Callithrix jacchus: one gene and its partner. The protein of the gene in region 1 purifies or fractionates together with the protein of each later gene. This does not show direct contact. Links are inferred from orthologs where the notes say so. Each region holds a gene or a part of one and is shown in the gene's direction. Other genes may lie near its edges.

Region 1 (3,748 bases):
AAGTGTTCCCCAGCTTTGCAGGTAGAAATTGAACAGATGACGGGATAAAGCAACAGGATGTAAACACGCCCGTCCTATTTCCGTTCCAGAGAACAGAGAGAACAGAAAGAGGGTACAAGGGGGTGACGAACAGCACAGGCACGCAGCCCCAGCCCTCCCCCCAAGGGGCTGGAAGGGACATCAGTCCCACAGGTCCAATGAGGCCTGAAAGTTCTCCTTTCCTTCAGAGGTGGTGGTGTTTTTTATATTTAACAGGGATGCGGGGCAAGAGAAGGACAAAAGAGCTGTTGCTGGACAGTAACACCAACCCGCTCCACAGCCCCAAACCTAAGCGTGTTCTTGGAACCATGGAATTGTTTCTCACAGACTTGCTATTTATGAGTCAGGAATAAACAGCAGGCTCTAAAGAAATTTCACTGACCAAGACTAGGCATGAAATTCCCTCAAGCACGTATTCCTTTTACCTCCTAACACCGCTCCCAGACCAGAAACGTCCACACCCGCCCTCCGATCGCCCGTCGCCCTGGCTAGGTTTTAGGGTCAGTGGGAGCCTCCTTCCAGTGGGCTCCAGGGAAGACGCTCCGCAGCCCCCTCCTTTCCCTCCTCCCTCTCCTTCCCCCCCTCCTCCCGCTGCTACGGAGCATAACAACCATTTACCCCGCCAGGAGCACACCGTGTCCACGCGCCTCAGTGATCTCACTGATTGGTCGGGCTCCTGGTAAACAGGGACTGAGCAGCCAATGGGAGGGATGTGCACGAGGGCAGCACGAGCCTCCGGGCCAGCGCTCGCGTGGCTCTGCGGGCCCAGGCTACTATATAGAGCCGTTTCCGGCTCTTGCTTGAAACTAAGCTCCCTTTCTCTTTAGAGGAGCGTTTGTAGAGATCGGATCTCTTCTCCAGCAATTGTGGGAAAAGAAGGCTTTTTCTCTGAAATCCTTTAGTGTAACCAGCGGCGTGAAATTTTTGGAGGCCTTTTCAAAAACCTAGTAGTTAAAATTCATTTGTCTGAATCTTACTTTAAATTTAAGCTCAAACTGCTTAAGAATACCTTCATTCCTTAGGAAGAGTGAAATAATTTACTGCAAAGGAGGTTCCTCGATTTGGGGCTTTTTTTTTTTTTTTTTTATTCCACCCTCGTTCCTGACTCTTAAATCAACTGTCCCATCATGGTGATGTTCAAGAAGATCAAGTCTTTTGAGGTGGTCTTTAACGACCCTGAGAAGGTGTACGGCAGTGGTGAGAAGGTGGCTGGCCGGGTCATAGTGGAGGTGTGCGAGGTGACCCGTGTCAAAGCCGTTAGGATCCTGGCTTGCGGAGTGGCCAAAGTGCTCTGGATGCAGGGATCCCAGCAGTGCAAACAGACTTCGGAGTACCTGCGCTACGAAGACACGCTTCTTCCGGAAGACCAGCCAACAGGTAAGAGGCCCGGTTCATTGCTGGAGGGTGAAAGCTGGTAAGAGAATAGAAAGCGTAAACCCGTATGAAATGTTTTGAGTTGCTCCGTTTGCGTGGTTTGAATTACGTGTTGTTGCTTCCTTTTATCTGTTTTAATTTGCAGACATTCTCCCCCCACCCCACCCCCCAAAAAATGGGTGATTTGTATAATTTTTTATGGTGCTTGTTTCTTAAAGATGATTCTGGGGGCGTTGCCTTGGGTAAAGTCTTATGTATACATAAGTTGCTTATTATTTGCTTACCTCTGTTTGAGATGTTAAGAGGAACCGTCCTGGGTGAATCTTTAAGCATTGCAGGGCTTGGCAATTTGCTGCCCTACAAAATACACCAGACTCTCTCTTTAAGAACAATATCGGATGATTTTAAAATATGTAGGATGAAATTGGGGGTACTTCATTCAGTACGTTGCATGCCACCCAGTCATTCCTTATCACACAGATGCATTTTAAGTGTAACAGGAAGCCTAATGGTTACTCGATTTTCTTTCCCTGCAGGTGAGAATGAGATGGTGCTCATGAGACCTGGAAACAAGTATGAGTACAAGTTCGGCTTTGAGCTTCCTCAGGGGTAAGTATCAGCTAAATGCATCTTTGAACTTCTCGGTCTAAATTGTCTTGTCCTCCTGACTGTTCTTGGAGAGCATTTAAAAATCTTCGTTTTCTTGACACAGGCCTCTGGGAACATCCTACAAAGGAAAATATGGGTGTGTAGACTACTGGGTGAAGGCTTTTCTTGACCGCCCCAGCCAGCCAACTCAAGAGACAAAGAAAAACTTTGAAGTAGTGGATCTGGTGGATGTCAATACCCCTGATTTAATGGTGAGATTCATTTTAGAGAGTGTATTCTTCTGGGTCACAGGGATGATAAATCCGATGTCTTGGGCATTAGATTGAAGCATCTCAAAACGCCTTTTGTCCCCTTCTACATAGGCACCTGTGTCTGCTAAAAAGGAAAAGAAAGTTTCCTGCATGTTCATTCCTGATGGGCGGGTGTCTGTCTCGGCTCGAATTGACAGAAAAGGATTCTGTGAAGGTAAAACACTAGTGCTGATGGTAGATATCTTAACAAGAACTGGGTTTAGGGCCAAGGGCATGGGACTGGGGTAGCGGAAATGTCATTAACTGAGTATCAGTTAATAAGTTTTCATCTTTCTCATTGCTAGGTGATGAGATTTCCATCCATGCTGACTTTGAGAATACATGTTCCCGAATTGTGGTCCCCAAAGCTGCCATCGTGGCCCGCCACACTTACCTTGCCAATGGCCAAACCAAGGTGCTGACTCAGAAGTTGTCCTCAGTCAGAGGCAATCATATTATCTCAGGGACATGCGCATCATGGCGTGGCAAGAGCCTTCGGGTGCAGAAGATCAGGCCTTCTATCCTGGGCTGCAACATCCTTCGAGTTGAATATTCCTTACTGGTGAGTAGATACAGGGTGGCTTCTGCAGAGAAATTGTTCCTCTGCTACCACAGTCTTGTTTTCTCCAGATCTCTGATCTAACAAACTTCCATCTTCCTTTCTAGATCTATGTTAGCGTTCCTGGATCCAAGAAGGTCATCCTTGACCTGCCCCTGGTAATTGGCAGCAGATCAGGTCTAAGCAGCAGAACATCAAGCATGGCCAGCCGAACCAGCTCTGAGATGAGTTGGGTAGACCTGAACATCCCTGATACCCCAGAAGGTGAGCCAGACCCAATGTCTTGTTCTGGTCTACCTGGGTTTGTGAAATTGTGATGCTCCAGCATTTCTTGGGCAGGCTTCTTAATGTGGCCGTATTTTTTTTTCTAGCTCCTCCTTGCTATATGGATATCATTCCTGAAGATCACCGATTGGAGAGCCCCACCACCCCTCTGCTAGATGACGTGGATGGCTCTCAAGACAGTCCTATCTTTATGTATGCCCCTGAGTTCAAGTTCATGCCACCACCTACTTATACTGAGGTGAGAAATTGTCATCCTTTCTGTTAAATTTGTCCTAAGCCTCTATAAGAAGTTGACTTAGCAGGATTGCTAAACTGGGCTGTTGTTCTAATTCTTACCTGAACTAAACTAGTCTGTTTCTTCCTTCAGGTGGATCCCTGTATCCTCAACAACAATGTGCAGTGAGCATGTGGAAGAAAAGAAGCAGCTTTACCTACTTGTTTCTTTCTGCCTCTCTTCCTGGACTCTCACTTTTTCAGAGACTCAACCGTCTCTGCACAATGGAGTGTGGCTCCACCTCAGCCTCTGACTCCCTAACATAGCGGGGTGATCAGCAGGCAATCTCCTGGGCCTTAAAGGATGCGGACCCATCCG
Region 2 (3,648 bases), on another chromosome or scaffold:
GCCCCGAGGAGGGAGCCAGGAGCATACCCTCTCTGCCCACCTCTGGGGGCTCTGCTCTTTGGCTGCAGATGGGATCTGGAACCAGAAAATCCTCTTTGAGGAGTCTGACCTCAGGAATCACGGCCTGCAGAAGGCGGAGGTGTCTGCTTTCCTGAGGATGAACCTGTTCCAAAAGGAAGTGGACTGCGAGAAGCTCTACAGCTTCATCCACATGACCTTCCAGGAGTTCTTTGCTGCCATGTACTACCTGCTGGAAGAGGAAAAGGAAGGAGGGATGCAGAATGTTCCAGGGAGTTGCTTGACGCTTCCCAGCCGGGACGTGACAGTCCTTCTGGAAAACTACGGCAAATTCGAGAAGGGGTATTTGATTTTCGTTGTGCGTTTCCTCTTCGGCCTGGTGAACCAGGAGAGGACCTCCTACTTGGAGAAGAAATTAAGTTGCAAGGTCTCTCAGCAGATCAGGCTGGAGCTGCTGAAATGGATTGAGGTGAAGGCCAAGGCAAAGAAGCTGCAGATCCAGCCCAGCCAGCTGGAATTGTTCTACTGTTTGTACGAGATGCAGGAGGAGGACTTTGTGCAGAGGGCCATGGACCATTTCCCCAAGATTGAGATCAATCTCTCCACCAGAATGGACCACGTGGTTTCTTCCTTTTGCATTGAGAACTGTCATCGGGTGGAGTCCCTTTCCCTGGGGTTTCTCCACAACATGCCCAAGGAGGAGGAGGAAGAGGAGAAGGAAGGCCGACACCTCGACGTGGCCCAGTGTGTACCCCCAGGCTCTCTCACTGCCTGTTCCCTCGGGTAAGCAGGCTCGGCTCCAGCAGGCGGCAGAGCGTGCCCTCTGCCCCCTCTCCAGCTTTTGCTTGGCACCTGCCTCCTCTGGTGTCTTTTCATCTATCTTCCAAATTTAGTTGCCACAGCTGTGTAATGATGCCGCCACCACCCATTTCACACCCCTTCATGGGCAAAGGTTGACTTGTGGTAGGTGGATAAATGGGGTGAGCAAAGAAACAATGAAATAAGGAACAAATGTTTTGGGAATGCTAGTTTAGCACAAGGGATGAGGGAGGTTGGAGGACTGCCTACAAAGGCTTGCCAAAAGAAACTGCTCGTCAGCTATTTGGAGCGCTAGTGCCTCATGGTCAGTCAATGTCTCTGGGGCAGGGCAATGCCAGACTCCGTCCCAGGAGCCCAGGGGACAGAAGGCCCTTAGAGCTGGAGGCTGGGGGAGGTTTCTTAGAAAAGCGCAATTTAAACTTGGCTTTAAGGGATGCTGGGACATGTGTGCGGGGAGAAGAAAGTAAAGGGATCCAGGCATTGAAGACCCACACAAGCAAGTCGGGAATGCAGTCTGAGAAGCATGTGCAGGTGGCAGTGGAGAGAGACTCGGTTTCCTTGGGAAAAATACGATAGCGATGAATCAAGGGAAACAGAGCAGAAAAGCTGAAACGCTCCTTCCAGGCCCCCATGTTGCTTTGCCCTGGGCTGTCGCCAGAAGTGTCTGCTCTAGGGTGTGCTCATGACTTGCTGGGCGGTTGGAAGCCAGTTGCCGAGTCTGTGCAGTGAAGCAGTTGAGTCAACTGACTTCTGTGTCCCTTCTGGGTTTCTTGTTCAGTGGCTCCTAAGAAGGACAGTGGTTGTAGGAAGGCGGGCACCCTGTGATGTGAGTTTAATCCGTAGAGAAGACAAACAGGAGGCTAGGCCCTTCCACTGGCAGCGGTGAGCTTCAGCTTCCTCTAGCCCTGACTCTGCCCGGCCAGGACACCTTCCTGGTCCTCATTTGGCCCAGAAGGACCAACTGCTCGCAGGGCTGCAGTGGAGGCTGAGACCCAGGTCCCTTTCATAGGGCTTGAGGTCCGTCATGGGACAGTCAGGAAACAGGTGTGGGTGTGTGTGCGTGTGCGCATGTGTGCACATGTATGTGTGTGCATGTGCACGTGTTTGCGTGCGTGTGTTTGCGCACGTGTGCACGTGCGTGCACGTGTATGTGTGCACGTGTGCGTGTGTGTTCATGCGCGCGTGTGCGTGTATGTGTGGGTGCATGCGCGTGTGTGTCACGGGCTCTGACAAGGAACTTGCAGAGTACCCAAAGCACAAGGGGATGAACCTGTTCACTTCTGCGGCGTGGGTGTCCCCCTCCGCCAGCTTCCAGAGGATGGGCGGAGTGACAGAGTGAGAGAAGGCCAGGGGCAGCCCAGGCTGGGGGTACAGAGTATTCAGAGGGGGCAGGCGTGGGAAAGCAGGGCCAGCAGTTCCGAGTGACTGGAAGAAGACAGATGTCTCCATCTGTCAGGCTGCCATAGCCAAATGCTGTAGACTGCTTGGCTCACAAAAAAAAGCAATGATCACCGTACAGTTCTGGAGGCGGGAGGCCCGTGGACGAGCACCGGCAGATGTGTTTGGTGAGACCTCATCAACATCACACACCGGTGAGGAAGCAGGGTAGGAGGCTCAGCACCCGTCCCTCTAGAAGGCAGCCCCACAGGGGAGAGGGGAGGGACACTGAGGGGCGGCCGCAGATGGCACTTTCTTGCTGCGTCCTCACAGGTGGAGGGTGAGGCAGCTCTCTGGGGTCCCTTTTGTCAGGGCAGCGATCCCACCGCGAGGGCTCCACCCTCATAACTTCATCACATCTCAAAGGCCCCAGCTCCTCATACGTCACGTTGAGGGTTGGGGTTTCAGCATATGGATTTGGGGCACACAAACATTCAGACCACAGAAACGGGAGAAGAGGAATAAGAGAAAAGCAGGCAGACCTACTTATTAGAAGTGAGGTGGAGGGTCAGGGAGGCCATGTCCGGGTCACACACCCGTGAAGAAGGCTCGCAGACTCGCACTGCTGCCCTGGCGGGGGCTCAGCACCCGTCCCTGTAGATGGCAGCTGCTGGCCAGGCGGGGTGGCTCATGCCTCTAATCCCAGCACTTTGGGAGTCTGACCGGGGCGGACCAGCCAGGCCAACATGGTGAAACCCCGTCTCTACTAAAAATACAAAAATTAGCTGGCTGTGGTGGCAAGCACCTGTAGTCCCAGCTACTTGGGAAGCTGAGGCGGGAGAACTATTGAACCCGGGAGGCGGAGGTTTCAGTGAGCTAAGATCACGCCACTGCGCTCCAGCCTGATGACAGAGTGAGACTTGTCTCAAAAAAAAAAAAAAATGTAGATGGCAGCTGCCTACCTCTGAGGACAGATTCTGACTGGAGCCCTGGTAGGGGCTCAGCACCCGTCCCTCTAGATGGCAGCTGCCTTCTCCCTCTGATGGCAGGAACTTGCTGTGTCTCAGCACTTTCTGAGAACCAGAAGCCTGGGCATCTGTTAGAAACGCAAAATTGTAGACCCAGTTGTAGACCCGGGGAGGAAGACTTTGCATCTGGATGAGAGCTACAGGTGATTCAAAGGTAACTGCATGTGTGCTGCAGTGGCTCATGCCTGTCACCCTAAGTTTTTGGCAAGCCAAGACAGGGGGATTGCTTGAAGCCGGGAGTTCAAGTCCTGCCTGAGCTGCAAAGTGAGAGCCCTTCTCTACGGAAAAACAAAAGCAAAACGTGACTGCATGTTTGAGTCACCTGGACATTTTAAAAGATCCATGTAGCTGGACACAGTGACTCCTGCCTGTAACCTCAGCTACTGGGGAGGCCGAGGCAAAGGGG

The links. The genes of interacting proteins can lie anywhere in the genome.
Region 2: the proteins of TXNIP (region 1) and NLRP3 purify together in Homo sapiens (affinity purification with western blotting, with the first as the bait; 4 studies listed by BioGRID). This does not show direct contact. The link is inferred for Callithrix jacchus from reciprocal best matches to the Homo sapiens genes TXNIP and NLRP3.

The regions. Positions count from the first base shown.
Region 1 is NC_133519.1:8,436,175-8,439,922, reverse strand, and holds the start of TXNIP (thioredoxin-interacting protein), read left to right. Parts: upstream 1-1,459; 5' UTR 1,460-1,480; coding exon 1,481-2,022; intron 2,023-2,125; coding exon 2,126-2,273; intron 2,274-2,384; coding exon 2,385-2,487; intron 2,488-2,617; coding exon 2,618-2,874; intron 2,875-2,978; coding exon 2,979-3,135; intron 3,136-3,242; coding exon 3,243-3,394; intron 3,395-3,523; coding exon 3,524-3,559; 3' UTR 3,560-3,748. UniProt on the Homo sapiens protein: May act as an oxidative stress mediator by inhibiting thioredoxin activity or by limiting its bioavailability.
Region 2 is NC_133520.1:38,247,455-38,251,102, reverse strand, and holds part of NLRP3 (NACHT, LRR and PYD domains-containing protein 3), read left to right. Parts: coding exon 1-801; intron 802-3,648. UniProt on the Homo sapiens protein: Sensor component of the NLRP3 inflammasome, which mediates inflammasome activation in response to defects in membrane integrity, leading to secretion of inflammatory cytokines IL1B and IL18 and pyroptosis.